Caenorhabditis elegans: one gene and its partner. The protein of the gene in region 2 interacts with the protein of the main gene of each other region in a pairwise test. Each region holds a gene or a part of one and is shown on either strand. Other genes may lie near its edges. The genes, in order: ced-2 and egl-15.

Region 1 (12,258 bases), on a different chromosome or scaffold from region 2:
CGTACAATGTCGCTGAAATATTAAAAATTGATTATTTTCCATTAAAATGACTTGAAATTTGGTGAAAACTCGGAAAAATACACTGCGTAAATCGACACAAGATTAAAGGAACACGATGGGTGTCGCAGCGATTTGAGAAAATTTCGAAAAATTCGCCAAAAATTCTTGGAAAAACATGATTTTCTTTGGTTTTTTTCTGAAAATTTCGTAAAATACGTCAAAAATACATATTTTTCATTAGTTTTTTCGTTTTTTTCGAAATTTTATTCAAAAAATGACTGAAATAAGCCTAAAAATTGAAAATTGTTATGAAAAACTTCGAAAAATACGTCGAAAATGAATCATTTTTCCTTTTTTTTCGAACGTTCTTCCAAAAAATACTGAAATAGGCTTTAAAATTGAGCTATTTTGAAGAAAAAAAAATTAAAAGTGAATTTTCTTTGAAAAATTGAAATTAAAACTGAAATTTTATCCGAAAAATGATAATATATTTTTAAAAAAAAATATTTTTCGAGAAATTTCAACCAAAAAAAACCGAATAAGGTTTCCGTAAAAATTGTGTATTTTTCGAAGTTTTTTTTTTCTGAAAAATTGCAAAAAATATGTCAAAAATACATATTTTTCATTAGTTTTTTCCAAATTTTACCAAAAATTTTTTCTTTAAAATTTCGAAAATTCGTTTTTTTCCGAACGTTCTTCTAAAAAAATACTGAAAAGTGAATTTTCATGGTTTTTTTTTTGAATTTTTTTTGAAAAACTGAAATTTTATCCAAAAAATGAATGAAATGACATAGAATTTCTAAAAAAACGTATTTTTGAAGGTTTTTGAAAAACTTTTCCGGAAGATTTACAAAAAATACCTGTTTCAAACAAAAAAACCGAATAAGGAATAATACATTCCGTAAAAATTGTGTCTTTTTCGAGGTTTTTTTCCCGAAATTTTCCCTAAAAAACTCTAAAAATACGTCAACAACGGCACTGCAACTTTTTCCTCACGAGGGACGAGGAAAAGTGGTTTCTAGGCCATGGCCGAGGGGCCGACAAGTTTCAGCGGCCATTTATCTTGCTTTGTTTTCCGCCTGTTTTCTTTTGTTTTTCATCGATTTTTTTCGTTTTTTCTTAATAAAACTGATAAATAAATATTTTTTGCAGATGCTAAAACAATTTCCAAGTAAAAAAATCATGTATTCAGTGGGCAAGCAGCGGTGAAAGTGGGCAATGCAATATGATGGATTACGGGAATACAAAACCTAAACTTTTTCTGAAACATGATACATATGCTGCTTAGATGCTGAAGCTACCTGATTTTCATATCGAGACCGCTGAAAAAGTTTTGAGGTTTCCAAAATTCAACTTTTTTGGTAAAAAAGTAGAGATTTTCGCACAAAAAGTTGAATTTTGAAAACCTCAAAACTTTTTCAGCGGTCTCGTTATGAAAATCAGGTAATTTCAGCATTTAAGCAACATATGTATCCTGTTTCAGAAAAAGTTTGGGTTTAGTATTCCCGTAATCCATCATATTGCATTGACCACTTTCACCGCTGCTTGCCCACTGAATACATAATTTTTTCACTTGGAAATTCTTTTAGCATCTGCAAAAAATATTTATTTATCAGTTTTAATAAGAAAAAACGGGAAAAAGCTGTGAAAAACAAAAGAAAACAGGCGGAAAACAAAGCAAGATAAATGGCCGCTGAAACTTGTCGGCCCCTCGGCCATGGCCTAGAAACCACTTTTCCTCATCCCTCGTGAGGAAAAAGTTGCAGTGAATACGTCACCAACGGCTTAAAAAAATCACCGTTTCGCAAAAATCCCCGCCGCGGGAATCATTCTGCCAAGGCGAGCCAAAATAATCTCACAATTCGGCTCACAGCTATGATTTAAAAACCGTCCGATATTTCCACGTAGGCGCGGGTCTACGAACGTTTTCACGGGTTTTCCACCGAAAAACTCCTTCAACGTAAGCGTATAATTATCGTCTCCTCGGAATTCTCGACATCTCCGTTCAACTTCTTGCTCGCCAATACATTCCCCAGCGTATTCGCACACAAATTCGCCGGCGGCTATCTGCTCGCCGGCTCGAACTCCGAATCCTTTTGCCATCTCACAAGTGCTGAAAATTTCCAGCTTTTTCTGTGGTCCACATTGCACAACTCGATTCCTACATGAAGTTGGGAGCAGTATGCAGGCACATTGATCGGAGCACTCGATTAGAAGCTCCGATGATTTATTGATTTTTCCATCGACAGTGTAATTATCGATTTTATTGATTAGACACGAGCAACCGGCGGCTGAAGAGCACTCAGCCTCGCAGTTACATCCTTCGAATACGTCATTCCAGTCGGTTTCAGAGATTCCTGGCCCGGGAATTGTGCTATCAATTTTCTCATAATTCATTATCTGAAATTTGAAATTTTTGTAAGTTTTTAGGCGGAAAAACAAAAAACTATCAGAAAATTGTCGAAATTCGAGAGAAAATCCATTTTTCAACATTTTTCCACGAAAAAAATCCGGATTTTTTCGCATTTTTAGGCGGAATCTCAGACGAAATTCGGAAAATTGTAATTTTTTTTGCCTCAAAAATTCGAATTTCTAGGCGAAATCTGCGAAAAAATGTTGGTTTTTTTTTTCACAAAAACCGTTTTTAACTAAAAAATTCACAAGAATTTATAGCAATTTCAAAGAAAAATCGAGAAAAATACGCCGAGCTTTCAAATTTTTTTTGTGATTTTTTCATACAAAATCGGATTTTTTTCTTGCAATTGAATGGAAATCTTGAAGAAAATTGTTCAAAACTCTGAAAAAAAAACTATAAATTATCTGAATTTCTAAAAAATTAAGAATTTTAGTGAAAAAATTCGGAATTTATCACATTTTTAGGCGGAATCTGTAACAAAATTATCGAAATTCGGGAGAAAATCCAGTTTTTAACATTTTTCTACTGAAATCCAAAAAAAAAAATCAAATTTTTCACATTTCTAGGCGGGATCTCAGACGAAATTCGGAAAATTATATTTTTTGCCCCAAAAATTCGAATTTCTAGGCGAAATCTGCGAGAAAATGGTTCAAATTTGGGGAAAATCTTTCAGCTTTAAGAGGAAACGGCGGGTTTTCAATAGAAATCTGAGAAAAAATCGGCAAAATTCGATAATGTGGCTTTAAAATCTAAATTTTCTGAAATTTTATTTTAAAAAACTGCACTAAACCGTTAAAAATCGTTTATAATTTAATTTTTCAGTTAATTTTCCCGTTTTTAAGTGAAAAATAGCTTGAAAAAGGTTTAAATTCGACAGAAAACAGAGTTTCTCCAAAAAAAAAACACCGCGTAAATCGACACAAGTTTAAAGGCGCAGTATGGAGAGTGAAAGGGTCTCGCAACGATGGCCCGGGGTATTTGAATTTTTCATAAAATAAAAGTTTTTTTCGTGAAAAAATGGCAAATTTGATCAAAATTTGTTGTTTTTTCGTGAAAAACAGTCGAAGTTCAGAGAAACTTTCCATTTTCCAGTTGAAAATAGAAAAAATTGACCGTTTTTTAGCCTGAAAAACCAGAATTTATTGCAATTTCAGAGAAAATTCGAAAAAAAAAGGCCGAAAATTCACCAAAATACGTCGAAAAATCGGATTTTTTTGCAATTTGCTGGAAATCTTCAAGTAAATTTTCAAAACTTTGAAAAAAACTCCAAAATTATGACATTTTTTTCTTAAAAAGTACTCTCAGAGGCTCTATAGCACCTCATTTTCCAACAAAAATTCGAAAAAATCATAATTAAAACGGTTTATTAATCATCCGGCAGGTTGAAAGGGAAAAGTGAACAAAATGGAATGGACACGAATTGGGGTTCGGTGGGCGGAAAAGGCAACGAAAATTGTGCATGATATCATTATAAATATAATTTGGAAAAAAAAACGATTTTTTTCTATGGTAAAGCTGTAATGTATTAGAGGAAAACTGGTGGAGGGGCAAGCGAATCAATAAATTTCAAGGTTAAAAATTTAGAAAAAAAAAACGATTTTATTCGCTGACGGCGGTGAATCTGAGGTATGTATGAGGCACCGAGCCAATTTGGCCGTCGAGTTCCGCTTTGTACATTCCGTTGGACATTTTCTGAGTTACAAGCACTGTTTGCCCCTTTTTCACACGCAATTGGGTCGGATCGTAGGCGTTTGGGACACGATCGAACGTCACTTTGGCTTTTGCTGGCAGACGGGGCTGAAATATTGAATTTTTTTTTCGGTTTAGGAGATGTTTTTCATGATAAAAATCGTTAATAATTTCATTTTTCAGTTAATTTTGCAGATTTTAGGTGGAAAATAACTTGAAAACGGCCTGAAAATAGAGTTTCTCCGAAAAAAAACACCGCGTAAATCGACACAAGTTTAAAGGCGCAGTAGGGTTGGTGGAAGGGTCTCGCAGCGATGAGCCGGATTTTTAAATTTTTTGAGAAAAAAAAAAAGTTTTTTTAAGTAAAAAGGTCAAAATTGATCGAAATTATTCGTTTTTTTTTGACAAAAACAGCCGAAATTCACTGAAATTTGACATTTTCCAACTAGAATTAATAAAAAATCATTGAATATTCATTAGAAAGATGGAAATTGACTGAAATTTCGCATTTTCCAATAGAAAAATCTAAAAATTGGTGTTTTCCGTGAAAAAATGTCAAAGTTGCCTGAAATGCTTCGTTTATTCTTGGAATATGGTCGAAATATTAGGAAATTTTCGATTTTTCCACTAGAAATGTTAAAAATTGACTGAAATTTCCATTTTTTTTTCAGTGAAAATTTCAAAATATGACCGAATTTTCACTAAAAACGGTAAAAATTGAGCAAATTTTTAAAGAGAAATTTCAGATCCAACTTTCCCATTAAAATTCTGTAATTTACAAGGAAAATCGTCTCGAAATTCGAAATTTTCCCATCGAAAAATGTCAAAAATTGACTAAAAAACGCAATTTTTCAGCAAAAAATCTGAAATTTGTGGATTTTTCCGGCAATTTTCCACACCTGGAGCTCAATATTATCACTGCTCGTGCTGGCGCTCGAAAATCGTTCGGCGCCACCTCCGCTGCTTCCGATCGACGATTGACTGGCGCCTTTTGAGGTTCTGTCATTGTGAAATTCCATCTGAATTTGTACATAGTTTGCCGGCACTAATCCAGTGGTTCCCAACGCGTTTCTCGCCTCCCACCAATCCTGGTTCGTTTTTGCTGGAAAAAAAAAATTATTAAAAATCTAGTATTTTCGAGGAAAATTACCGAAAAAAACTTGGAAAATGCACAAAATCTTGAGAAAAACGGGAGAAAATCAAAAAACACGGTTTTTTTTTCAAATTTTATGGTTTTTACAGGTAAAATTTCGTATTTCCATTATAAAATTCGTTTATAATTTTATTTTTCAGATAATTTTGCGGTTTTAAGTGAAAAATTGCCTTAAAAACAGTTTAAATTCGTCCGAAAATAGAGTTTCTCCAAAAAAAAACACCGCGTAAATCGACACAAGTTTAAAGGCGCAGTGGGGTGGGTGGACAGGGTCTCACAACGATGAGTCCGGGTTTTTGAATTTTTTCATAAAATAAAAGTTTTTTTCGTGAAAAAATGGCAAAATTGATCGAATTTTGTTGTTTTTTCGTGAAAAACAGTCGAAATTCGCAGAAACTTTCCATTTTCCAGTTGAAAATAGTAAAAATGACTGAAATTTCTTGTTTTCATTAGGAAAATAGTCATAATGCACTGAATTTCGCATTTTTCTACTAAACCGGGTTAAAATTAGGCGAATTTTGTAGAAAATCGCATTTTTCCATTGAAAAACGTAAATTTTTAACATTTTTGCGGCTTTTTGGATTAAAAAAATGTGGAAATTTACCAAAAGTTTCTGGTTTTCTTGAAAAACAGTCAAAATTTACCATTTTCCAATAAAAACAGGAGAAAATGGGTGGAAATTTACTGAAAATTGCTCATTTTCTCACTAACATGGTAACAATCGGAAATTTAAATTTGCCCATCGAAAACGTCAAAAATTAACTAAAAATCTCGATTTTTCGGCGATTTTAATTGAGAAATGGCTTGAGAAAGTGGTAAAATTTGGCAAAACTTGGTTTTTAATAGTTTTTTTTTTGCATTTGGCTTCAATTTCCCCGAATTTTCAGATTTTTTAATCGAAAAAGTGCTCTTAAAGCTCACAAAGAATCTCGAGCCGCTAAATCAGTGGATTTTCGGGGATTTCACGAGAAAACTCATTTCTCGTAGTTTAAATGGCATTTTCCGAACCTTTGGTCTTTCTTCTCTAAGAAGTGCTCGAGATTCCAGAAATTGATTTTTTTTCCAGAAAAAAACGTTATAATTGTGAGGAAATCGACATTTTTTCTTGCATTTGGCACTATTTTCTCCGTATTTTTAGATTATTTAAAGGTGGACTACGCTCAGTGGGGAAATTGCTTTAAAACACGCCTATGGGGTCACAATGACAGAATATCATGATTAAAAAATTCAAAATTTTTTTTTATGATTTTAAATGATTTTTTGAAAATTGAAAAAATCTCAGTTTTCACCTAATTCCTATTTGAATTTCCGCCAATTGAACTCGTTCGTTGGAGCGCGCTTGCATTATTTTCATTAATTAATTCTATTTCTTCTCATTATTGGACTGATTTTCTTCATTTTTTGTGGTTTTTCATCGGAAAATCGAAGAAAACAACAAGAAAAATGCAAAATGATTTTTTAAAAGTAACTGAAAATGCGTAAAACTGTAAAATATACTAATTTCAGGCTTGTCGTTGTCAGAACTCAAGAAATCACAGTTTTAGAAAATTTCAGTTAATTTTTAACAAACAATTTGCATTTTTCTTGTTTATTTCTCTTCCATTTTCCGATGAAAAACTCCAAAAAATGAAGAAAATCAGTCCAATAATGAGAAGAAATAAAATTTTGAAAATTAATGAAAATAATGCAAGCGCGCTCCATTGAAAAAATCCAATTGGCGGAAATTCAAAAATAATTAGGTGAAAACTGAGATTTTTTTTCAATTTTCAAAAAATCATATAAAATCAGGGAAATTTTTTTGAATTTTTTAATCATGATATTCTGTCATTGTGGCCCCATAGGCGTGTTTTAAAGCAATTTCCCCACTGGGTCCGCCTTTAAAAAATCTAAAAATTCGGAGAAAATAGTGCCAAATGCAAGAAAAAATGTCGATTTCCTCACAATTATAACGTTTTTTCTGGAAAAAAAATCAATTTCTGGAATCTCGAGCACTTCTTAGAGAAGAAAGAACAAAGGTTCGGAAAATGCCATTTAAACTACTAGAAATGTCAATTTTCTCGTGAAATCCCCGAAAAATCCACTGATTTAGCGGCTCGAGATTCTTTGTGAGCTTTAAGAGCACTTTTTCGATTAAAAAATCTGAAAATTCGGGGAAATTGAAGCCAAATGCAAAAAAAAAACTATTAAAAACCAAGTTTTGCCAAATTTTACCACTTTCTCAAGCCATTTCTCAATTAAAATCGCCGAAAAATTGAGATTTTTAGTTAATTTTTGACGTTTTCGATGGGCAAATTTAAATTTCAATAAAGCAAGTTCCCCACAGGGTTTAGTCCACCTTTAATCAAAAAAGTGCTGCTTTAAAGCTCACAAAGAATCTCGAGCCGCTCTCCTTGCTCAAACGGAAGATCTGTCTCTCGTTCCCCTGTGAATTTGAATGTTCCGACGACAACCTCAATGATAGGCTTCTTGTAGGCGGCCAGCAGGCTTGCCTCAGTCAAAACTCGCATTTTAAAATGATTCAACAACGCCGGAATGTCTGGAAACGACTGATTCGCGATTTTCACGCCAGCTGCAGCAGTTCCATCTTCTTTCGGTTCTCCTCTTTCAATCAAATAATGACAAACGGCATTTCCCTCGTCGGCTTCACGTACTGTCAGTGAATATTCACCGGGGCGTGAGCTATCCCGCATTAGGAAGGTGCCGATCGATACTTGTGGCTCGCCGAGCAACTTGTGAGCCTCTTCACGGCTCATTCCTGGGAAGTAGAATGAACGCCACTCGAATGGATCGAACCCGTTTGTCGTCATTTCTGAAAATGCGGGAAATTGTTTAGAAACGTGGAATTTTTAGGCGCGCAAAATTGGTCAAAGTTGGGAAAATTTTCTGGAAAACGTAACCCAAATAGACGGAAAATCATCAAAAATCACGAGAAATTCCTAAAAATCCAGAAAAAAAAGACGAAAAATCAAGAAAAATTATATAAAAGGGGAAAGTTTTTTCGGCTGAAAAATGCTTAAAATCTTGTTTTTGAGAGCGAAAATTTATGAAAATCGGCCAAAAATCACCATCTTTGAGAAGAAAACGCAAAAATCTTCAAAAAAAAAATCAAGAATTTCGTGGGAAAAAATATTTTAAAATGAATAAAAATATGATTTTCAACCTAAACATTGCTGAAAATGTGAAAAAACGGGTGAAAATTCGATTTTTTAAAGGAAAACGAGTCAATATAGGCAGAAAATTGGATGAAAAAGTTGGAAATTGAATAATAATTAGCGTGATTTTCCAAGAAAATCAAGGAATTTCCATTTAAAAAATTCAGGAAATGAACAAAAATGGATGTTTTTTTGGCTGAAAAAATGCTGAAAATCAGTTAAAAATCGGCCAAAACTTGCGTGGAAAAATCAAAAAATCAGGAATTTCGTTGGAAAAGTACCTTAAAATGGCAAAAAATAAGATTTTAAAGAAAGAAATTGCTGAAAATCGTGGTTTTGGCACAGAAAATCTAGTAATTCTAGTGAAAATTTCTGAAAAATAAATGAACATTGGAGAAAATGGTACTTTTAGGAAGAAAAATCGATTGGACACAGTGAAAATTTTCAAATTTTGGTAGGAAATGGCGAGTTTTAGGGAAAAAGAGGGCAAAATAGTTGAGTTTTTCGGCTAAATTATGGGAAAAATGAAGAATTTTTTTGAAAAACTGTGTTAAAAAATTGGAAAACATGGCGAAATCGAGAATTTCGAGCAGAATAAGCAGGTTTTTAGGCTAAAGTTCGGTTTTTAGTAGAAGAAAATTGAAAAATACGCTTAAAACCTTTATTTTCGAATATATTTCATACTAAATTTACCGATTTCTTGTTTTTATACGCATTGAAACACCAATTATTCGTAAAAATGAGGAAATTGATGAGCAATTTTCCCAGGCAATGACTCATAAGCTTCTTGTCGACTGGAGCCAAAGTTTACACATTTTAAATACGTATTTTACGATGCGCAACCGCAAAAAATCAAGAAAATCTCCGAAAACTGGTGAGAAATTGCAAACAAACGACTTTTTTTGCACGCAAAAATAAATTGTCAGCTGTTGCGCTTGTCCGAGAGGAGTACACGATGAGGTGTGCGGGGGACTTGCAACACGCGACCCCGCCCACTTTTCCGCGCCGCATTGCAATTTGAATTCGGAATTTTGCGCGAAAAGTTGCGTTTTGCGGGAAGTTTTCCGGGTTTTTTACAGTTTTTTGCTATAATTTTCAAGTTTAAAGGTTAAAATATCAAAAATCACTCAAAATTTTCCGACTTTTTCAGCAGCTTTCCATCCTCCGAGATGAGTGTCTCGTTTATGGAGTTGGGCTCGGCCGACTCGGCAGAAGCGGCGGCGAACAAGGTGGCACACCACGTCGAGCAGATGATGGAGACATCGGATTTCTTCGATCGCCTCACACAACACGGCACGACGCCCGTCTCCGGTCTCGGCGAGAAGTTTTATGTGAAGGGAGCGCCGGAGTTTGTGAGCACACGGCGAATCCCAATACCCGGAGAGCTTCAAATGCAAATGAGCAGTGAGAGAGCATTGTTTCCGATGGGGGGGTTTTTCAGCGAAAAATTGGTGAATTTTCAGATATTCACAGCGAGTTTAGCATGGGATTCTTCACACAAATCAGCCGAGTTTGGGTCGTCATTGATAACAATCTCTATATGTGGAATTACGAGACAAAGTAAGCGGAAAAGCCGAAAAATACCGAAAAAAAATCGAATTTTCAGCGACGATTTGGCGTTTTTCGACTCATCAGACGCTGCAATTCTGAAGGTGTCGCTGGTGAACATCAAGCCAGGCGTTTTTGAGCCGGAAATTCAATATGGGCTCGTTGTCGGCACAATTTCCGATATATGTCTTTATCCGGTCTTTGATTTCGTGGAAAATGGCGCCAGTAGCATTTCTATCGACTCAAAACGATGCTTCAAGGTTCGAAATTCGAGTGAAAATGGAGAAAAAAGAAGGAAGAATTACCAAGAAAACCCAAGTTTTTGAATCAAAAATCGCAAAAGTTTGGAGATTTTGAGTCTTCAAAACACGGGAAAATCGATGTTCCGTGCGATTTTTACTTAAAAATCGACAAAAAAAATTTAAACAACGGGATTTTTCGTCTATTTCTAGCTCAAATTTGCTGATAACGCTTTTCTGTTTTTTTTTCTACTCGAAAACTTGAAAATCCGAGTTTCTGACTAATTTTTTGAGTCTTCAAAGCAATTTTACATCAAAAATGCTCATTTCAAACCAAAAATTGGGGATTTCGATAATCTTCAATTTTTATTCGTTTTTTTTAGAACAATTTGTCGTTGAAAACGCTCATTTCAAGCCGAATTTTCGAAAATATGTGTTGTTTTATGCGAAAATCTCCAATTTTTCATTTATTTTCCGATAAAAAAAGCTCATTTTAAGCCTAAATTTTCCCAAAAATTGAGCTTTTCAACAATTTCTCTAGAAAATCGCAAATTTCCATTAAAAAGCTCAATTTTTTTTGCGAGAATTTTTCAAAAATGAGCTAAAATTTCGAAAATAACAGTAATTTTCGACGAGAAACTTCAATATAACACAAAAACGGTATTTTCAAGCCAAATTTTTTTCTAAAAAATTTAAAATTTTGAAAATAAACACAGTTTTTTGCGGAAATCTTCAATTTTTCATTAATTTTTCTGAAAAAAAAGCTCATTTTAAGCCAAAATTTTCCTTAAAAATCTGAAATTTCCAGCACTTTACTATAATTCCAGTACATAAAAACGCTCCTTTTAAGTCTATTTTTTTTCTAAAATTGAGCTCAAATTTTATTTTTTCACATAATTTCCAGAAAAATCTTCCATTTTCAGCAATTTCTCTAGAAAATCGTCAAATTTTTATGTTGTATCTGGCAAATCCCCATTAAAAAGCTCAATTTTAAGCCAAAATTGTTCTGAAATGAGCGAAAATTTTGAAAATATCACTAGTTTTAGACGATACTCTTTATTTTTTTTAAATATATTTTCTGAAAACGAAACCCATTTCAAGCCAAAATTATCATAAAAATCCCCAAATCGTCAATTTTTATATGAATTTCATCGCAATTTTACATTGGAAAACACTCCAAAAATTGAGCTTTTTCAGCAATTTCTCTAGAAAATCCCCAATTTTTTTTTTCAGATAGCCCTTGACGGAGCAACAGTGAATGATATTTCGTATACTTCAAATGGTCGAGTATTCTATACAGCCGACGATCAACTCTTCGAATTCGTCTACGAGAAACAAAACGGATGGTTTGGCTCCACAAATCACAAGTGTCGAGGTGTAAATCAAACTGCATCAATTCTCGGAACACTGATCTCTCTACCATTCTTCGGCTCTTCAAAAGAGCCCCTCGATCAGATTACAATCGATAAATCCCGAAATATCATGTATTTGCTCGGCCGAGCCGGCACCGTCAGTGTCTGGGATCTCGGAGCGGATGGAGCAGCTTGTGCCAAATTTTTGAGTGTTCCCATCTCGAAAATTGCACATGAAGCTCATATTCTGACGCAATTCGGTCACGATGAGACATCTTTTCACAGTATTACATCGATTAAGGCGTTGGAAGCTTCACAATCGGCTGCGCTTAACCTAGTTGCAACTACTGCCAAAGGAGTTCGATTGTACTTTTCAGTGTCGACGGGCCCGCAGTCTACGATGGCTATGTTTAATAATAGTGGAACACCTAATGAAAGAGTTCGTTTTTTAGCCGAAAATTTGGAAAAATCGGGATTTAACAAACAAGAGTAAAAAAAAAGAGTAAAAAAGTTGTATCTAGTTTTTAAACCAATGCTCTCGTCGAAAGTTTTTTACTTTAAAAAAAACCATTAAAAATTAGATATTTTCGAGCTTTCTGGGCAAAAATTGTAAAATTTTCGGCCGAAACCCAGGAAACTGAGCGATTTTTTCAAATTCACTTTTTTTGAAGCTCCAATCAATTTTAGAGCAGAATTTCAAGACTATAAA
Region 2 (13,368 bases):
ATACCGCTGTGAATTATTGAAGAATGTGAAAGTTGTTAGAATCATTTAATATTTAAAAAAAGCGCACTATCAATCAAAAAAACCTAGTGCCAGGAATGACTTTCTATAAGACTTTTTCCTCGAGAAGCCCGAATATAAAAAGAGAAATCGAAGGAGGGGGTGTAATTATTACGGGGGCACAAGGTGGAGAGCGCTTGTTGTGCATATGTGTTTCGTGACATGTAAAAATATGACTGGCTCCGGTAATTGCTCTGGGATCGCCAAATCTGAGCAGTGCGGGTAACCTGAAGCAGAGCAGGAAACCAAAAAAAAAAGTGCACTGACTAGTCATTCGAGATTTTTCAAATGTATAGAAAAATGGAAACATGGATTAATATCAGGAAAGGATGTGGGTTAAGCTTACATATAGAATAAAAATATATCAAATCATTTTTCGACTAGACTGAATAGAATAAAAATGATGTAATACAAATTCAATAGTTGATATTTTGTTTACAAACCAACTTGAAATTAAAAAAAAGCATGCCAAAAAGCGAATTGCTACGCGGTCGTATTCATCGAAAAATGGAATAGTCTAAAACAGAAAGACCAAAACCATAGTGTAAAATAGTTTTCGCGCGATCATTCCCATTTGGTTTTGTTGATGAGGTAGTTTAGAAACGGACGCCAGAGCAATTAATTAAAAGAAACAGGTTAATTGTGGGGCATTGATAAAATGTGATGTTTCAGTGACAACAGATTTGTTAAATGATTTTGCTTAAAACATTAGACGCTGATATTAATTGTTATTTGACCAAAACTGATTTTACTTTCAAAATTGAAGAGTTTTCAAATTTAGAAACAAACATTGCAGAAAATAAATAAATCAATCAAATCTAGTTTTGTTAAAGAAAAAAACTAATTTAGATCACTACAAAGAATTGAGAAGTATCTGAACCAAAATGTGAAGAATGGTGAGTAACGTGCGTTTGCTGCTCAGGCTTACCATTCCCACCATTTCTCATCAACAAAAGGTCACTCATGCACTGTTTGAGTGGAACCCGCAGAAAATGGGACGGACCGCCGACGCGCGAGTTATTAGAGCATACATACACACAACCACATACACATCTGGGTGGTAAAGAGAGATGGAATGAGATTGAGATAGATATTGAAGAGAGGAAAGAGTTGAGACACTACTCGTTTACATATGGAAACGAAAAAAGGAAAGAGCAAGTGGCTTGGGTGGTTCTAGTGGTTGTGGTGGCTCGTCTTTTCTTTTCGTTTTTTTTTTTTTGAAATTTCAGGAAAAAAGATGGAGGAAAAGGGTTCAAGAGCGGAGGAAGCGGGTCGAAAGGTTTTGGCAGTTTTGGCATCTGGCATTCAGTGCTGGTGCTGCTCTTTTTCTTTTTTGTGGAAACAGGAATTTGAGACAAAAGTGTCTCTTCCTAATATTCCCCGCTCAGTGGATGAATAATGAATAAACGTGAGAAAATAGCGTATTGGAAGAAAACCCATTGTGATGAGGATGACAAAAGACTTTGTAGTCTGCAAAAAACGTGAATTTGATTGAGAAAATTTGTAAGAACGAGCCATACAAGACAGTTTCTGAACCAGTTCCAAAAACTATCTCTTTCAAAAAATGTTCAAATGGGATACTGTTATGTCGTGGTAGGTTACCGAAAAGTTAATTGATGAAGGTAAAAAACAAGAAACAAAACAAAAAAAACAAAATAAGAGGATTTGAGGTGTCTCCCCGCTCTCATCAACAGAGGTCAGTCAATCAATGCAGTTGGAGGAGACGACGGTAGTCGATTTGAATTAGGCCGTGCATATCCGCCCCTCTCTTCGCGGTTTTTTCGTTGAGCAGAAGATACGTGTGTGTATGTGTGTGTGTGTGTCAAGGAGGAAAATGGGTACACATGGCCCTCCGGCCATATGCGTAGTATGTCTCTGGAATGTGTTCTCTGAGTTTTCTCTGTTCTGATATCATAATAGAATTGATATTGGGTAAAATCTAGCAAATGCAAAAAATAACTGTTCTTTTTTGTTCACCATATGAATACTCAAACAAGAAAAACAGTGACATATTTGAACTGCTATTCGTATCAAAGTTATGAGCCAGTCATCTTTTTGTGATAGTTTTCTCGAACAGAACAACAGTACCTGGCTTTTAAAGATTTTTATATCTCATTTAATTTTCAAAGCAAATGTCTCGCAAAATTTTTAAATGTTAGATTCACCTGAAAGGATGGTCTATCGGGAACTTGTACTTTGGTCGTGAGCATATTAAATTGACATAAACAGCGAACATTTTGATCAAAATATTGCTTATTCCTGGAAATGAATAATAATAAGTCTGCTTGTGAACCTCTGACAAAACTTCTACACTTCAAAGGCAGCGTAAGTTGATAGCACCTTTCGAAACAATGGTTCTAAATATTGAACAATACTTCTTCGAATATATCATAGAACTAGCAGAAAAAACATGTTTTTTTAGTGTAAAATTAAATAAAAAGCGGTTACTAAGTAATCCTGTCTTATTCATAAAAGACATGTAAATTCTATTGCAGGTATCGGAGGTTTCTGTTTCAATTTAATTTAGATTTCAGCATGAGCACCTGCTGCGTTCGAAGTTTTGCATTGCTATAAGATTATATACTCAACAACTATTAAAATTCTGTAACACAATTAGTTTTATTCAAGACTATATGTTTTATTGTGAATTTTTCAATTGAATTTCAAAGCGCACATAAAATAAAAACATTATAGACAACAAAAAACAAACGCTCTGTAAAAACAATTATTAAGTGTATCAATTTAAACATGAATGAAAACTGAGCATAAGTGTGGAGAAGGAAAAGTAAAGCAGAAATCTGGTCAAAAATGACTAGATCATAGCAAGCAGCAAACAAAGAAAAGAGGACGAAAAAAGTAGTCAAAAACGAAGTTAGACAATAGTTTCCTTTGTCGGCAACGGGTTGCGAGGCGTCCTGAAAAGAAGAAGTTCGCTGAACTCTGTAGTAGTGTTTTCATGCCAGAATTGGCACTCACATGTTCTTTTTGATTATGATTTTCGAGTAGAGTGGATGTGACTGGATATAGTTAGGATGATATGATTCCTCGAATATTGCAGAATCTCTTGATCTAAAAGTAAAAGAACAACTTCAGTTTTATAATTGTTTTTATTGACACATTTTATTTCGGATTTTGGTTAATTTTTACGCTTTTCTATGATCATTTAAGAACTGTTTCAGTAACTGGTAAACAATAATTTTCCTAAAATTATGCAAAAGAGGGTGATAATTGGGCCGCTCCTACACGTACAAGTTCTAAAGATAAACATTTTGAAGTGTTTCTTCTCTTTTAGAAATTAAAACGTTAGCTTTTTAATTTTTAGGTTTAGAACTAATTGTGATGGAATTAATGTGTGAAAAATTATTCAAGTTCTAGTTGAATTCGAGATTTTGAAAGATCAACATTTTTGAACTAATAGTAAGTGTGACTGTATCATATTTATCAACTTAAATTTCAGGTTTTATTTTAATGTAAAGTTTTTAAACAATAAAAAAACTCTATTGGCTGTTTTTATCTAGCAAGTTTGTTTACTAATTATTAAAATTTGTTTCGATACTTGCCTAGTCATACAATCTGGATCATCGAAGGTAAAATGAAGATATTGAATTTTAGACGTTGTATTATAATACTGGTGAGTTTGATCTGCAAATGAAACTTTAAAGGTTACATAGCACAACATTTATAAGTGTCATGTTAGTCTGGACACTTGACGGAGGCAAATCTGTAAGCTAACTTATGTGATTTGATGTTCTGCAACCCATTACACCAAACAAAAATGTTACAGGACAAAAACACACAACACGGAAACATGATTACCACAATGGACTTTTAAATGACATCTGATAACGGCGGAGAGACTACTATGAGTAATAGTAGTGATGCTTCTCATCATCTATAAATTCATTGAAATCGTTGCCCTGAACTTAAATGTCAGTAGCGAACTGAAAACGAACCTAAACAAGAAGCTTTGTTAGAGGGACGGTCGTACGAAGGCCAAGCTGGTGAACCGAGGGCAGAGTCGAGAGATTGGTTGGCAACACCGCTGACGGCACGAGCTAATTTATCTTGTCGAACATACCCGTTTCCGATTGGTTCGTTGAGCACTTTGTGGATGTACACTAAAAACGGTCAAAATTCGGGTTTGCTCATGCTATTGTTGTTTGATGGAATACGTTGAGAGGTTTCCGGTGTAATAATGTGATTTTTCAGCATATTGTCATTGCAGTAGAGATGATTCGGATCATTGGGTGGTTCTACAGAAAAATTGGACTCATAGTCGTCGCAAATTGTGTGTTGTGGCTGCAAAAACAGTGCTTTATGGATTCCGAATTCATAGGTTAAATTCTTTTAAAATTTAAATACGTTATGTACGAAATTACGTTTTGATCTACCTCTGATGGAAGATTCACTGGAGCTGAAAGAGGGCGATGTTTTCTCTTTTTCTGGAATGACTCCATAGGAGAAACTGGACCTGATGCCGTGGATCTTTCGGAGAAAAATTGATCCTGGAAAATATCCTCAAAAATGTTGTCACAGATGTATGACCTTACATTAAATTCTTGTGATCCCTCAATAGTCTCATTTGTCATTGTTAACATCCAATCCAAATAATCTACGATTGTTTTAAAAGATGGTCGTTCTTCCAATTTTTCTCTCCAGCAGCTGCACATCAAATGGTAGACTTCTTGGGGACATAAATGTGGTGGCTCCATTCTGCAAAAACATGTCAGACAGGTGAGATTTGCATGTTTTTCTCAATATTTTCACCTGTATCCTTCTTTGAGGTTAGCATAGAGTTCAGGCATGGCAATCGTTGGATAGGGAGTTCCACCAAGTGTCATGATTTCCCAAAGGAGAACTCCATATGACCATCTACAAAAGTATCAATGAGTCATTATAGTATTAATTTTGGTACACAACCACTGTCGTGCCCTAAAATTGCCCCAAAAAATGTAAATGGAAAACTGAAATAAAAGCGTGCCAAGAAAAATGGTGAATGCATTGTTCACAGAGTGATAGTTTTGGAAGCAATAGTATTTTTTTTTTTTGATATTCAAATTTGAATAATATATTTTTTGTTAAATTAAATTGTCGTTCAATAGTTTTTTATAACTATTTTTCCACAGGCGGGAAACAACTTCAATTCAGACATATCACAAATATATTTATGTTTAATGTTTTTCCCTAAATTAAAATCCTAAAACGTTGTATCCTAAAAACCCAAAATAAGTAAAATAAATATACAGCTATCCCGATTCAGATGCTCAGGTTGACTCAGGATGATTAACTTGTGTGAAAAGACAAATAAGACATATGTGATTATATTGAAAAATCAATTTTTTTCAAACGTGAACCTGGAAAGGACCTCCACGAAACTTTTCTACCACAGAAAACCATTACTCACACATCACTTTCCACGGTGTATACATTTGAGTCCAACGCTTCTAAAGCCATCCATTTAATGGGAAGTCTGCCGTTTCCACGTTTTCTGGAAGTAATATATCATCAGTAATATATCATTAGGAATAATGTTACAACCTATAATAATCGTTACAGTGCACATCTCTCGATAGTCCAAAATCCGATATTTTCAGAACGTGTCCATCACCGACGAGAACATTTCTTGCTGCCAAATCACGATGTATGATCTTCTTTGATGCCAAGAAGTTCATTCCTTGAGCCACTTGCCAAGCAAATTGTACAAGATGGCGTTGTGTCAAATTTGGTATGAGCTCCTAAAAATGAAAATTTCAGCAAAATTACTCTGGTAAATTTAAAACTGACTAAGACAGGTTTACTGATAATGAGCAATCAGGAAAACGCTTTTCTACAAGATTTTCAAAGTTTGATGAGTATTTCAAATTTTGTCAGTGGAAAAAATCATATTTTATTCAAAACATAAGCCACTCACAATGTCATCCTTATCAGATGCTTTTCGTGGTTCCAAATAATCCGTCAATTCTTGGCTGGACTTTTTTGCCTTCTCTTCCTTAGGTCTATGTGCTCTCAAGAAATCGCGCAAATTCCCATGCTTGCACAGCTCAACAACGACATAAAGCGGACCAGCGCCTGTACAGCATCCAATCAATCGCAACACGTTCTCATGTTCTCCTATAACTTTGAATGTTTCCATTTCACTGACCAAGTCAATGAGCTCTTTTTCGTGAGCTGACATTTTCAATTTTTTGACAGCAACTGCGATTTCCTGAAACGCAATTAAAATTTCAGATTTTCTTGTTTTTTTGTTTTCCCAAAATTACATTGTTTTCTGTTTCTTTGTATGTTGCTTTCCAAACTTCTCCAAATGCTCCCTCGCCAAGCATGTGAACCAAACTCAATCTAAACGTTGAAATTTAATGTTTAAATTGAATTCTTGTCTGGCTGAATGTATTAAAGATTTGACCCACTTTGATCTTTCAACTTCCCAAACTGGATCCGAATCAACCTCGTATTCCGAAAGAACAGTGTTTTCTGAATTCATACGTTTTCTTTGTTTTCTCGCTGCTTCTTTCTTTGTAATTGGAGTCTCTATTATTTGAATTTGATAAGGTGATGGCTCATCATCCGAATTCTCATTATCTTCATTCATTGGCCTTTTGCTAACTACGACTCTTTTTTTTCTTGCCACTAATCCAACAGTATCATCCATGAATCCTTTTTTGTGTAGTGTTTGTTTGCACACCATAAACAAAATTCCAAATAATGTTGCAGCAAGCAGTAAGAAAAGCAGAATTGTTGTAAATATATAATCGGATGTTGTCCATCTATCTATCTTCGGTTCGTCACCAGTGAGCAAATGTATGGCCATAAACTCATTCACCGTTAAAGTGGCATTCGCCATCGACTGTAAAACTCTTAATTTGTTCAACTAGAAGGTTCAATCAATTTCTTACCATCCCCAGTGAGTTTCCACTGAGACAAGCATATATTCCCTGATCATCCAGCGACACATTGAAAATAGTAAGCGTCGATTCATCACCAACGTGATGGACGTGCGCTTTCTGAAACGACACTTTTTGATAGATGAGAACATGTTTCATAACATACATCAAAAGTGTCCATCTCTGTGTAATTGAACATATACTCTTCAGCTGAATTGTTGTAGTAGCTATACGACCCATTGATTTTGTTGATGCGTACCCAAATAATATGAGGCAATAAGTCAGAGACAACTTTGCAGTGGAATGTGGCAGTGTCATTAATATTTACCTAAATATAAAACATTGAAACTATAGATGCCGTGAGGCAAAATCTTACTGATTGATTAGCCAAAATATTCGGAACGATAATGGGCGGTCTTCTCATTCTGTTGACTATGATCACATGGAAATACTTTTTTGCACTTCCAACTTTGTTCAATGCTTCACAATGAAACTCCCCAGAATCTGCTACGACAGCATCTTCCACTTCTAAAGACCATCTATTGAACTTGAATTCGTATCCGCCGGACCGAGCACTACTTTTCTTCAACATTTTGCCGTTTTTGTACCAGATAATCTGTGATCAAATGCATTGATTGAAAATCCAATGTTTCTTTACGTGAAAAATTTCAAGTTTTTCATGAATCGTACCTGTGGCTCAGGGTATCCTTTTGCGCGACAATTAAGTTTCAATGTTCGTCCTGCTGGTAGAGCATGCGTTTCATTAAACAATACAATGTTGTCGTTTGACTTGAAATATGGTGGCTCTTCCGCAGTAATATTCAGCTCAGTGAGCCCCGCATCTGGAGCAACCGGTTGTGAAACACTATAGTCTTCTTCTTCGTCTTCTTTGTTTTCTTTTTCATCAGCATTGATAAATTCGGTTCCTAAAAACAAGTTTACTGAGATATATAAGAAGAAAATGAAGCATTTAAAATAATTCAACCACTGATGTAGCCTACCCAAAGCATGATTGATCTGTCTTAATCTCAGAATGTGCCTGGCTCGAACAATTTTCTGTTCATTATTCATCTTCTCCCATCCGCCCAATTGGCTTTTCACTCTCCTCATTTCCGCAGGAGGTAGCAATTTTGGCAATAAATGACTAATATCGAATACTCGATGCTCAGTGAGCCAATCGAACAGTTTAAGTGGATCTGAAATAACTTACTGGATTCGGATGGACTTTCTTCAGAGTCATGCACGGGCACAATCACATCATCTTTTTTCAAAACAACACGCTTTACTAAAGGATCGTCCTCGGGTTTCCCAGGTAAACCAAAATCCGAAACAGGAGTAGTGTCAAATTCTTTGCAGTGATCACCAAAGCAAGGAATCATTGGCAACGGTTTTCGTGCTCTATTTATCATGCGAGATGCGTACTTTGAGCAGACTTCTCCTGTTACCGCTGCATAGTTCACATCAGATCGTTTTGCTTCTTTGTTGTATTTCCATAAACAAACACATTCCATCGGAATGTTCAAATGATGAATATCGGGAAACAGGAAGTAATCACAAAAGTCTGAAAACAAAGCACACCATGCATGGAAGAAATTATGCTTGCACTGCAAAGAATCGAGCAATAGAGATACTTACCAATAACTTCAACTGTAAAATTTCGTGATATTTGTCCATATGCGTTGTGTACGCGGCAAGACCAAAGACCCTGCAAAAATATTAGTTTTTAAACGTTTTTAAACGTTTTTAAATAAACGTTTTTTTTTAAGTTGACAGAGTCAAAAACTGCTGAAAAAAGTTCTCAGTTTGTTGGTATTTTTGAATTAATATATATTTTTGATGATGCTTAAAACTCATGGTAGTCGGTTATAGTTTTTTTTCCTATTTTCTTTCATATTATTCTTGCAGAACTAAACACGCGCAAGAGATATCACACAAACTTTAGCATCTACAAGATATTTTTTATTGGTTAAATGTTTTTTTTTAATAATTCCAAACATTTTTCAAACATTAAATCATTTTAATTATCATGTTGTATTGTTTCTTTACGGTATTTTAGGTAACTCCAGTATTTTAGGTTAAAAACAAGAAAAACCAAATTTGAAACGAGACATCGAAATACAGTTTCATAGTGTATGTTAGTCTTGAATTCCTATCAGTCTTTGCACTCTAAATTGTCAATTAAAAAAATAGAAATGCATGCAATTCTAATAGGAGAAATGCGATACTTGGTGTTCTAACCACATTGTTCAACAAAAAAAAAACCACAAAAATAATAAAAAATCATATACCTGATCTGAAACATCAATATTCTTCAAGTGAAGCATCATCCTGTTATTATCTTTCCGAATTTTGTCTTTATCTATTTGATCATTTTTGAGTAACTTGTCATTACGATACCATTCGACAAAGGCAGAAATCTTTGACGCCGCGGTTTGACAGTCAAATTTTATCTAAAACTGTGTACATCTATTGCTGTTAAATATTTGTTCCACCAAACCTCATCTCCAAGAAATACTTCGTATCTTTCGTTTGCTACATGCTTGAAACGGGGAATATTTTCTGTAAAATCGAATAATATGAAAATAAATTAGATTTTGTGACAACTCTCTTACCTCTGTAATGACTGGTCAATCCTTGAAGAGAACAAGAAACTGTAGAAAGTAAGCCCACACCGAGGCAGGATGCAAGGAAATAACTCATGATGATATGTATCAGGCAAACATTCGAATTTCTGCAATCTTTTGTATCTACTATTTATCTACTAATAATCAAAATATTAAAACACTCAGAAGGAGAAGCTGTGAAACTTTTGAAATTGAATACATGTGAGAGAGGTGAATCAGACCGGTACAAAGATTTATTTGTTGGGTTCTTACTGGTACCTCTGCGCGAGCCATGGGTTATATATTACTGGCTCCATACCCCACCACCATATGTAACAAATTGGCGACACCCGCGCAACGTTTTCAAAAGTTCCGACCCTCTGGGTCATAAGGTCTAATGATCTCTGGGAACAATCAAGAAACTAAAGCAAATCATAATTAGAACCGTCTAAATTTACGCATATGTTGCTCATAGAAAAAAAAAACGAGCAGCGAGCGGAGGGCGATAATAAAAAGAGTAAAAAGTGAACGAGCGTCAAATTGAGACGACGAAAGACGTCCAGATGTTAAGATGTTGTGGATTCGTTGTCTTCGCCGACAAGGTGGAATGACACAATGCCGTTTCGATTGATATCGAAGCAAAACCTTGAATAAGAAGTCACATCTGGAGGTGTTTCTTCCGGATGCAGTGCATATGTTACGGAAACAAAAACCTTTCAACATTTCCGGACACAATGTAACTTTTTATTGCTAGTCTTGCAGTATGATATAGCGAATAAAGTGGGTCTATCTTTTCAATGATCACGGCTATGTTATAGAGTTATGTAATTTTTTTAGAGCAATTTGAGGTTTTATAAAAACTCGTTATGTATAATAAAAACAAATTTTAGCAGCTGATGTAAGCGTAATAACGCTATGGTAACTTTTCAAAACCAACGTCATACATTGCATATAAAATAGTTTAAATTAGATCAAATTTGAGATTATAAGGCTAGTTTTCAAAATAATGAGATACTTCTTTAGTGAAACATTCTATCTAAATATTCCTAAAAAAATAAAAAGAAAATGTTCATAAAAAACTTAGGTTGTGATTAATGATTAGAACATTTAGTTATAAACCAGCTTTTTGATTATTGAAGTGTAATTTAATCTGTGCGATTTCTAGGCACTTTTTTGTAGAAGTTATGTATTATAAAATTGTAATTTCAAAACTTAATAGTTGCACAACAGGGTGTGACCAACATTCCAAGAGATGCTTATCGCGGATACGAGATGGTTAGTTGCGAGTCTAATTAATTCAAATGTCACATCATTTACTCAATTTTAACAGGTAGGTGAATGGATTTCTTGTTTCAATTTTGTCATTAAACCAGTTTGTTGCCCCCAAGAATTCCATTAGAAAAGAGTGATAAGAAAAAGAGAAGGGGGCATTACAATCATGAGACGGTAACCGACAACATAGGCGTCGGTTTTTTGTTGCTGTGGGTCTTATTTTTTGGAGTATTTGGTATGTGTCTACAGGCTAATCAATATAGAAAAATGCAATCAGAAAGTGAGAGAAAATCAAGGGAATTAGAAAAAGAAGGAGAGATAAACGAGAATGGACAATGATGAGAAAAGAGATGCGTTAAAAAGAAAAGGGGTTAGTGATTGGGCATTGCGCATAAGGCAGTCAGTCGCCAAAAATGATAGAACACGGGATAATTGTAGGCGACATATTTAGATGCAAAAGCTAATTCAATTTCGGTTTTTCTTTATTTACGCGCACCTGTTTGTGTTGCATTCCTTTATAAATCTCGAACGCGAAAAGTTATTGTAAATGAGTCATTTTGACAGTGTGCAGGTGAACAACATGTGGTCAATATGAAAATAGATATCAGAATGCAATTAAATGCGAAAGGTCGAAGAAGTAAGCGGGTCTACCGAGAATTGGCTGCGTATCATATATCACGCGCAGTGGAACGGCACCACCTCATTCAATGTCACGAGGAGGACAAAACAAGTAACAAATGATTTAACGCCGTAAATCTCTTCTATTTATTAAAGCAATCTAAAATTGAATGAAAACAATGAAATGGATACAATAAAGCTTACAATTATCATTAAACGATATGTGTGGCAACTGTTAATTCAGGCAGTCAAGCCACAATTTTCCGTCGTCCCGTAATGTACCAGCCATATCAACTTGGAAGAACAGAACTCCTAAATACAGAATTGCAACACGAATGTTTAATAAACCAAATACCTTGACCAATAAGATTGAACTGCCGTGTATATCCATGATGAAATTTGCATCCTTTTCGAATAGCCACATGAACTAGCCATTTACCATGACCACACCCAATCTAAAACGGTATCAAGCATAATTTGTTTATAATAGTGTATGTGCTAAAAAACGTCAATCGTTGATGTGTTATTTATGAATTATAAAGTAGCAAATCGAAAATTTTTAAATCATGTAAAATTGATTATTTCGCACAAGCAGGTAATTATGTGCCTACACGCATTTTAAATTAATAACAGTTTTTATTTGCGATACGTGGTATAGTTTTAATCTTGAAACAAATCTTCACTAAACGCAATAAATTAAAATTTGAGTTGGAAAGTTAAAAAAAAAACAATGCAAAATTTTTTTTAATTCTGTCGATTGATTGAAGTTTTTTTGCATATTTCGAAAAACTTATTGAAACACATGTTTTTACAACACAAAATGTATTTCATTAAATTTCACTGTTTCACAACTCTAATTATTATTTGAATAATTTAAAACATAATTTTAATAATAGGTATGTAATATGGGTCAGCTTCTAAAGTCAGCTTTGTTCACACTACAAAAACTCATTTTCTAAGCGGTAGCTCACATTTGATGGTGTAAAACTGGTGTATGCAATATTGTTGGGATATATGTATCCACTGGATTCACCATTTGGAGCTTGTACTTTAATCACTATATCGGATTTCACTTGTGTTTTGAATGCAAACTCGACTTGAGAAGCTTGAAGTGGACAGAAAAGTTGTTCTTTGGCGTGATGATCTGCACCAAACGTTTGATGGTACCTTTTAAAAAATCATTAGACAACAGTTGGATGTCTTTTGAAAGTTACCTCCTTTTACGTTCAAAACTGGAAAGAAGTGTCTTTTTCTGATTTGGAGGTTTTTCGATTCGGGGAAAGAATCTGAAAAATAAAGTTTCTATATTGATTTTCAAAATATGATTATGTAAATTTTCGTACTTGGTTAACAGACACGTACTAGACGGAGGAATAGGCCTTACGCTTGTGAAGATTTTATCTTCGGAGTGTGTTTTTATAACTTCGTAATGCTTCGTGGAGCATCGACTCTGAAATTTGCAATTATTGTTGTCAAAGTGAAATTTTAATATTCTTAGAACGAAAACTCACAAGTCGTACAGATTCGTTTCTGTTGAATCTTTGAATATGAACATCTTGTTCAGATTTTGGTAAATATTCAGTAACCGGTGCAACGCCAATTCCAAATATTTTTCGAGTTCTCCGTAGGCTATTCTTAAAATATGATTTTTTTTCACATTGTCACCTTTTAAAATTAAATTAACCTGAAAGCTTATTGTCATTGCTTTTCGAATACTTCCCATTCTCGAAACTCTTTGCATTGGTGGGGGTGGTAATTGTAATTCTTGAAGTTCCTCGTCCTCTTCTTGTTCCTCATGATAAATAAACTCAGTTTCTGGCGGTGGACTGGTTAAACTCTAAAAAATGATTTTTGAACGTCGTTCAGAATTTAACAATAAATAAATTAAAATTAACCTACAACAATAAACTTTCGGAAACTGCCTTTTCGAGACGTTC

What was found.
Region 1: the proteins of egl-15 (region 2) and ced-2 interact in a two-hybrid assay, tested with the Caenorhabditis elegans proteins (one study listed by BioGRID).

The regions. Positions count from the first base shown.
Region 1 is NC_003282.8:1,593,127-1,605,384, reverse strand, and holds ced-2 (Cell death abnormality protein 2), read right to left. Parts: upstream 8,068-12,258; 5' UTR 8,066-8,067; coding exon 7,627-8,065; intron 5,208-7,626; coding exon 5,005-5,207; intron 4,214-5,004; coding exon 4,016-4,213; 3' UTR 3,764-4,015; downstream 1-3,763. Other genes in the region: putative histone-lysine N-methyltransferase set-23, read right to left, coding at 1-12, 1,799-2,397; npp-8 (Nucleoporin_N domain-containing protein), read left to right, coding at 9,580-9,814, 9,874-9,970, 10,017-10,218, 11,431-11,988. UniProt on the Caenorhabditis elegans protein: Required for cell migration and engulfment of cell corpses but not for programmed cell death/apoptosis. Has a role in the migration of the 2 gonadal distal tip cells (DTCs).
Region 2 is NC_003284.9:11,012,711-11,026,078, reverse strand, and holds egl-15 (receptor protein-tyrosine kinase), read right to left. Parts: upstream 9,680-13,368; 5' UTR 9,639-9,679; coding exon 9,551-9,638; intron 9,498-9,550; coding exon 9,436-9,497; intron 9,389-9,435; coding exon 9,227-9,388; intron 8,644-9,226; coding exon 8,574-8,643; intron 8,500-8,573; coding exon 8,149-8,499; intron 8,135-8,148; coding exon of another isoform or gene 7,940-8,134; intron 7,865-7,939; coding exon 7,629-7,864; intron 7,555-7,628; coding exon 7,315-7,554; intron 7,267-7,314; coding exon 7,105-7,266; intron 7,059-7,104; coding exon 6,951-7,058; intron 6,902-6,950; coding exon 6,465-6,901; intron 6,397-6,464; coding exon 6,318-6,396; intron 6,263-6,317; coding exon 5,969-6,262; intron 5,793-5,968; coding exon 5,596-5,792; intron 5,546-5,595; coding exon 5,462-5,545; intron 4,930-5,461; coding exon 4,825-4,929; intron 4,771-4,824; coding exon 4,608-4,770; intron 4,563-4,607; coding exon 4,449-4,562; intron 4,357-4,448; coding exon 4,230-4,356; coding exon of another isoform or gene 4,186-4,229; and 13 more. Other genes in the region: F58A3.3 (RHDF1), read right to left, coding at 11,667-11,743, 11,787-11,886, 12,403-12,598, 12,646-12,717, 12,775-12,881, 12,943-13,065, 13,116-13,268, 13,331-13,368. UniProt on the Caenorhabditis elegans protein: Receptor tyrosine kinase required for larval development. May phosphorylate adapter protein soc-1 which in turn may result in the recruitment and/or activation of phosphatase ptp-2.